Linked DNA regions of Saccharomyces cerevisiae S288C. The protein of the gene in region 2 purifies or fractionates together with the protein of the main gene of each other region. This does not show direct contact. Each region holds a gene or a part of one and is shown on either strand. Other genes may lie near its edges.

Region 1 (3,954 bases), on a different chromosome or scaffold from region 2:
TTTGATGGCGCACTAGGAGAAAAGCTGATATCAGGGCCGACTGCTGCAAAAAAAATAAAAAATCTCTTAGCCCAGTATGGAGAAGCGTTAGAAACAAAAACAAGCAAACAAGTTATGCAGACTAAGATAGAACATTATATGGAAAGCATATAACTTACTAATTAACATTTTATTACGTATATACATCTACATTTATCCAGGAAAGAACGTCATAAATAATACTAAAATTAGCTATCTTCCAATACCTCTTGTTTCAACGATACTTTAAATGACAGCCAATTACCAACAAAAAATTATTCAGCACATTCTTCTGGTATTTATGAGTGTATATGTTCCGCATCTCGTCATGAATATTTCATGATGCACTTCATTTTCTTTAAGTGGTCCTTTAAGGGGTTAATGACATTACAAGGTCGATATTCCATAAAAAATGCTGGGTGAACAGAGTTATGAAGAAATAATTTTTTACCTAAATACAAACTAAGTCTTCTTCGGCGTGTTCAAAGTTTTATATTTGTGCTATCTGGCCCTGATCTGCTCTTCTTCGTTTTACCGGAAACATCTTTCTTTTCACCCTTTTGATTGATAACAGTAATATTCTTGGCTTTTGACAAAGTGTCAACAACATCATTCCTTTTAGATCTTTTGTTTACATTTGGCAAATTAGCTTTCGATCTTTTTCTTTTCAAAGCCCTGCGCAATCTGTTTTTATCTTCTCTGGTTAATTCTTCCTTAGACATTGCAACACCATTCTTCAAGCGAATTTCTCCGTCCTTTTCTGCTTTACCGACATTGTATATCTCTTGAGGAGCCAAAGAAGAGGCATTCGACATATAGAGAGGTTGAGCATCCTCCATCGATATAGTGGGTGTTTCAACTCTAATTTCCAAAGAAGTACTTGCTGGCTTAGGAACGAAGTGCACTGATGAAAGCACATCCAATTTATATACCAAGTTAGCATAAAGTTCTGATATTTCGGAATGTGCCTTTTGAAGCTCTTCACTTAATGCAGATTCATCTTCAGCGCGTGTGTAGTCATCCTCATATATTTCTGCTAACGACTTCGAGGATTTAACATCACTCAATTCAAATTGAGGCCGTTGAGACTTACGTGTGATGTCTAACAGGGTTCTTCTTTGAAGGTCGTCAAAGTTACTGTCCTGTATCCTTCGTCTAATCATATCTTCTAATGATTCTGTGACCTCACTTGTTATAACAGGAACAGGCTTTGCAGTTCTGTCGAATTCAAGTTCCTCAGTGAGCAATGCATCTTCGGGACGATCCTTTGCCTTTACTTCACCCTTCAAAGACCATTTCTTCTCGGCAACCGCTTCGTTTTCCAATTGTTCTATCTGTTTTCTAATCTCTATTTGTTGCTTTTCGAAACTAGATAAGTTCTTGTCACTGGCTTCTCCCACTCCCTCAGCATTCGGTTCATCTTCCTCATCCGCAAATAAGTCTAATTTCACTTTATCCATGGCAGAATCATGCTCTTCTTCATCCAATTCTTCATCTTCTTTTGGATCTTTTACGTCAGAGTGCTTCTTCACAGGTTCTTTTGTGGGTTTGTCAAAAAAGTCTTCATAATAAATAGCCTCCTCCTCCTCGTCATCTGAAGGCATATCTTGAAAATAATCTATATCTTCATCCTCACTCCCCTCAGAAGCTTCGTTAGAATCTTCTGCAGCTAAAGTATCCCTATTGAACTTTTCGAGATCGAAAAACTTATCATTGATACCATAAGGATCGGGTGAAGAATGCCTTTCATCTTGCCCAGAAGAAATTCTTTTTTCCTCCGCAAATTCTTCTCTAGCTGCCTCTGCACTGGTTTTTTCGTCATCCATACTAGGTTCTTCATCGTTCTCGGAAAGACTATCATTACTCTGCTCCTCAATCTCAGAAACATCAGCAGAGAGCATCTGCTTTTCTTTAAAAACACTTTCTGCCTCCTCTAGTTCACTTTCTTCCCCGGATGATGAGTTCAGGGTGCTACCATCAGAGAGATTGTGAGAAGGCGTGACAACATCTTTGAGTTCTTGAATTCCTTGAATTAGATCACCATCAATACTATCAAGAACTAGTTTGACCTGCCACCAAACTTGATTGGCGTCTAAACCATCAACAGTGATTTCGTCCAGTTCTGCTTTCTTTGTAATACTCCCATTCTTACAGGTATTGATAACTGAATCTATATATGCTTTAACATCTTTAGAAGTGGCGGAGGGGTCCTTCAAAATAATTCTGCCAGCATTAGATTTCAATACTCCAAAGAGTTCTGACATTATACGACTTTCCTTGGGTCTTTCGTGCACACATCATTTATTCATAACAAAACACTGTTTCTTCAAGAGCTCATCGCAAAATTGAAAATTTTCTGCTTCCCTCGCATGCCGGCGGCCAGTACAGAAAAGGCGGTGAATATTTTATGGAAATAATTCTACACGAAAATATGTATATTACGCAATGGTTTTTCATTATCAGAAGTACAGAGCTAATGTAAATGAATTTTAAGTAGAGTAAGTATGCCCCTCGTCGATTATGAAATAATTGCAGCACCAACACCTAATGTGGACAACACGACACTAATACATATGGTTACGTGACAAGCCACTCTCTCCCATGGTTTGATTGTTGTCTTGCACAATCTTAAATAGAACCAACACGGCAAAATTAGGCAAATTGTAAAACACAAACCGGCCCCCAGAAATGCGATAATCTTATCAAATTCAGGGAAATTAATAGCTATCAAAACGAAGACAACATTAATAAAGATCCTATTGAATACTTGAAGGCCTTTCGCAGCTCTTCTTTTTATGGCGCTGGCCGCTTCATCTATGTGTTGCACATTCATCAGAACGTCCAATACAGAAACGATAGGTCTTGCGTTCAATGGGGTCTTTGCGATAGGAATGATAGTCATAAGCGCTGAAATCAGACCATAAACGAATTTTGGATATCCCTCCGTCAGCAAAACGTTCTTAGTAATTTCATCTTTAACAAGATTTCCAAACATCAAAAAGCCAATAACTGCAGTACCTATGTCCGTAACCGATGTTATCTTATAGGTAGTTTTCAAACAGTCTTTAAATTTATCTGGATGCCTCATATCTGTCTTTAAGTTGGGAAAAACCGCATGTCCTCCCCAGCAGGCACTCAATAAACCTATAGATAAACAGAGATGCTTTAGATCTATCGGCCACATGCTCGTTTCCATCGGATTAACTAATGAACCTGGAGAAGACGACTTGTATAGTCCGCAGCAGCAAATGACTAGCACAGTTCCGGTTGTTGAAAGGATTCCCAGAAGCGAGATATTAGATAGAACACTCAATGGTATAAAAACCGGGGGTGTAACGATAAAAAATGAAACTATTTTGAAAAAAGTGGTGGAGTATTGAGGAAATAGAGCATTTAAAGAATCTCCGAAGAGAATCACCAAGGACACCCCACTACCCAGTAGGTCAAGTGTGAAAAGAGCAGAAATTAGTGCGCGCCCTTTTGTACCAAATGCTGCATATCCCAAGTCCGCGTAAGATATCAAAGTTGGATCTGTATCTAGGCACCTAGACAAAAGTTCAGCAGTACAAAATGTCGCTAAGGCGAAGATTGCAAGCATAGTAAGTCCTATAACCCAGCCGGCGTATTTCAAACCAAGAGGTAACGCCAGGAGCCCAATACCAATCAGTACATTGATTGAGTTGAATATGGTCTGTGGAGCGGTCGACTGACCAGCAAGAAGAGTTACTACCTTACCATCTACACCCTCCACTCTCTTCACTACAATTGAATCCATGTCATTATTTGTAAACCTTCTCCCCGCTCCACCACTCATCATTTCTGTTAAGGAGGCAGTAGGGCGTAATATTGACCCAGAATCCCCAATTGTTGAATTTTGGATGGACCCATAATCATCATCGTGAATAGCCATGCTGGCTGTACTAACTCTATCGTTGT
Region 2 (4,153 bases):
TATTTAGTCTATGTCAAGCGAGAAAGGGGCCCTATATCTTCCCTCCTCCTTGCAATTGAATTTTGTTTGCATTCTATATTATCATATAGTTTCATATCAATTGCAAAAACTTTTGCAGCCAATGTTACAAAATTGTTTTCAATCAAAGAAATACAGGTGTGGTGTCCTTCACCATCGATATATTAATATTAATATATCATGAATAAATATAAAAATTCAAGGTAATGTACTTGTGCACTTCTTTTAGAATATAGCAATTTCCCTTAGCTCTTTTTCAAATTGTAATTCTCTACAATACATAAAAAGAAATTGATCTTTGGTTCAACTTTATATATCGCAATAAGCAATTCTCAACATTATGAAAGTTTATCTAAATTAAACAATCTTCAACAATAGAATGGTCTCTTGGCCCAGTTGGTTAAGGCACCGTGCTAATAACGCGGGGATCAGCGGTTCGATCCCGCTAGAGACCATTTATTTTTGACCCAGGTTTTTTTCCTAGGCAAAATTGATAACAGGGACTTACTATTTTCTATTTTTTTTTTTTTTTACATCTCAAACAAGGGAAATCGATGACTCTGTTGATATAAATGTATATATACACACTTTTAAAACTTCGTTGTTCATCTTCGCTTTCACCATGCTACCCCAGGCAAGTAGACGTTACCTTGGGATGACGCTTCGCTATCGCCGTCTTCATTATCAAAAACGTTTGTGAAAGCCTCAAATTCTAACGTAGGAAGTGTCTTCAACTTTCTTGAAGATTCTGCATTGAGCAAAGAATCATAGTTCCAGTCTAAGAAATCTTCCATGTTATAACTTAGCTTCTTAAATGGTTGAGCAAATATCTTCGCCAACGTGGCTACATTAGGATGATAATGTTCCATCAATGACGCCAGCTCCCACAGAGAGGAATCCAGTGCATGAGTTAACTCAGGGTCCGATTCATGAACATCGAAGGGATCTACATAGTTTTCTTTCAGAGTTTTCAAGTTCGCCACTTGGTCAGGTGTCTGGAATGGGTTGGAAATGAAGGCTGGGTTGTGCAGCATAATCATACAATTCGGATGTTTCCTGATTAAATTATAGATGAAGGGAATCACGGTGACAATAGCAGAGGGTGGTGATTCTAGGGTGAGTCTGGCTAGCTTTTTGATGAAAGATGCTACTAAATGGGCGGATAAATGTGTTGATGACAAAAATACGTCCATTAACCTGAAAAATCTTGCTCTGTATTTAACATGCATTAAGTCTGGATTTATAATTTGATAAAGTTTCATATAAAAATTTGGATATTCCAAGTTGAATCTTTTCATCAATTCAAAAAGGCCATTCAGAGCCAAGATCGGAACAACACCGGCGTTTTTATTAGAGCTTTGCAAATTGTAGGAATCAGTAAGGAAATCCATTAGTTTAGTTGGAGTGTGGAAATGAGGTATTATTCTCTTATGCAAAATTAACAGAATAGACTTATACTGCTGTAAAGACAATTGGCCGTTTAAAAGGGATAACCAATTTTTCTCGAAATTGGACTTGAATTTGGACTCGTTCTCTATGGCTTGTGGGGGATTTGGTACAAAGATCTCTAAATCTGCATCAACACTAGAGCAATGTTTGTCATGATTTACTAAAGCTAACCATTTACCAACGTTTTTCAAAAGCAAGTCCTGGTAGGCTGGATCCTCTAATAGTTGGTTAAATTCTGATTGAAAGTAGTATTGAATATCTGCAAATTTCGTATAATATTTTTCCGTGAATTCTACTATGATTAAATTTTCAGACGCACCCGAGCTTTTGACATCCTCTATTTCACCCATGTTCGAGGACCATAGGGCGATGATTAACTTTCTGAATGTTTTATTGGGGAAAAATGGTGCGCCCTTTTCAGATGCAAAATGAGTTGATTCCAGCTCTGCAAGTTGAAGATAGACATCAAGCGAATCTAACCCAAGTGATGTTTCGAAAGGTATGTCCGAAATGATAGCTAACAGCTTCGTCTTGAACGCTTCATACACCTTTCTACACCAATTAACAAACTGTTCCTTCTCTAATGTGCTCTTTTTGGACGAAGGAAGGGTCAAGTCGCCGCGGGAAAACAGCTTTCTAAATATCTGGAATAGCGACATAACCAGAAATCTCAAATTTTTTTCTGTCTCATCTTCTTCCAATTGAGTAACATTTTCTGGAATCACTAGTTCATTGATTAACTTGATAATGGAGTTGTACTGCTTTCTGTCACCCGCAGCAGTCAGCCTCTTGGCAATATCTTTAATTTCTGATATAAGCAATACCATATTCTTTGACGTTTCTTTTTAATAGATCTCTCTTCATGGCAATAGAGGATGATAATTACATCTCATCTCATCTCATCAAAACCGTAATACACTTTTTTTTTTCTCAGTTGGAAAATTTTAGTGAAAAATTTCAAGAATAGCCCTAAACCTTCAAATACGAGGATTACCCGTAGAGAAGTGCTGAAAAACTTTTTTCTTTTTCTTTTTTTTCGATTTTCATTTAACAGGTATAAAAAGCGAAACACTCGGTACATATATTTTACCAAGACGCGTTAGATTTTCTTTGGAGGTTTCATTTAAAGAAACCAATGACCTTCCAAGTTTTTAAAAGAATACGATGATATTATTTGCGTTTCAAATCGAACAATTCTTCTCGGAGCGATCTGAGGTTTTAATGGAGATAGCGGTTCCTGCGCAACCCATTGATCTTGTTACATTCTTAAGAATGACAAGGACGCTTTTATAAAATTCTGATTCTTTTTTCTTTCATTCTTTTGTTGTTTTTGACTTGGGAGTAGTCATCTCATCTGTACACAAGTAGCTTTTTATATGTTCTTAAATTGTAGACTAGTCAAAACTTGTGTCCTTTAAACCGTGCCGAAACAGTTTTAAAGCGGACATCCAGGGAAACTTGCCGTTAACAATAAGTGACCTTGCATGGAAGACTGTCGATTGGTCTCTGTGGAAACCAGTGCATATCTAAATTAAATCTATTGTCATCACGAATGCCGCCCGTGTTCGTGCAACGTGAGCGCAAATACGCCTGGGGTCTGTCTTTCTGCGCTGGAAAGCACCTTCGGGCATCAACTACCGTTTCTTATCGCTGGCACTATCTATCCACCAATCACACGGCAGCAGTACTGCTGCCGTGGACGGCAAATTAGGTACAGGGCCTATGACTGTTATCATTTGGCAGGCTCAGACAGAGAGAGAGAGCACAAGGAAAAGAGCCTTAACTCATGTAACATTTGACTCATTCTGTAAACTGAAAATTTGCTGCCCACTCGAGATGACAAATAGTTCGTTCTTGAATTTATGCGCATTTATAGATACGCATATATAACCCTATAGTGAACGCCACTAGGAGACAGATTCTGTTTGGACCCTGATCGCATACTCTTCTTACCTTTACATAATAAAATAAGAAAAAGTATAACTTGCTTTACGCTAAGGATATAAATCGGACGTAACTTAAGATGTGTGGTATTTTCGCCGCTTTCAGGCACGAAGACGTGCATAGATATAAGCCAAAGGCTCTACAACTATCAAAAAGAATCAGACACCGTGGTCCAGATTGGTCCGGTAATGCTATCAAGAACTCCACTATATTTGTTCATGAAAGACTAGCCATTGTCGGTGTGGAATCCGGTGCTCAACCAATTACTTCTTCAGACGGAGAGTACATGCTATGTGTTAACGGTGAAATCTACAACCACATTCAATTAAGAGAAGAATGCGCAGACTACGAGTTTGGAACACTGAGTGACTGTGAGCCTATCATCCCAATGTACTTAAAGCACGATATCGACGCTCCTAAGTACTTGGATGGTATGTTTGCTTGGACTCTTTACGACGCTAAACAAGATCGTATTGTGGCAGCCAGAGACCCAATCGGTATTACGACATTATATATGGGACGCTCTTCCGCTTCTCCAAAGACCGTTTATTTTGCATCCGAACTAAAATGTTTGACTGACGACTGTGACACTATCACTGCATTCCCACCGGGCCACGTATACGATTCTAAGACTGACAAGATCACCCGTTACTTCACACCAGATTGGCTGGACGAAAAACGCATTCCTTCCACCCCAATAGATTACATGGCAATTAGACACTCCTTAGAAAAAGCCGTTAGA

What was found. Proteins that work in one complex are often made in the same cells at the same time.
Region 1: the proteins of NOC4 (region 2) and MPP10 purify together in Saccharomyces cerevisiae (affinity purification with mass spectrometry; 5 studies listed by BioGRID, with this or other methods). This does not show direct contact.

The regions. Positions count from the first base shown.
Region 1 is NC_001142.9:437,193-441,146, reverse strand, and holds MPP10 (rRNA-processing protein MPP10), read right to left. Parts: upstream 2,283-3,954; coding exon 501-2,282; downstream 1-500. Other genes in the region: MRX12 (Mrx12p), read left to right, coding at 1-153; AVT1 (Avt1p), read right to left, coding at 2,537-3,954. UniProt on the Saccharomyces cerevisiae protein: Involved in nucleolar processing of pre-18S ribosomal RNA. Required for the early cleavages at sites A0, A1 and A2 during 18S ribosomal pre-RNA processing.
Region 2 is NC_001148.4:819,130-823,282, forward strand, and holds NOC4 (ribosome biosynthesis protein NOC4), read right to left. Parts: upstream 2,295-4,153; coding exon 636-2,294; downstream 1-635. Other genes in the region: ASN1 (asparagine synthase (glutamine-hydrolyzing) 1), read left to right, coding at 3,491-4,153. UniProt on the Saccharomyces cerevisiae protein: Involved in nucleolar processing of pre-18S ribosomal RNA and ribosome assembly. Has a role in the nuclear export of 40S pre-ribosomal subunit to the cytoplasm.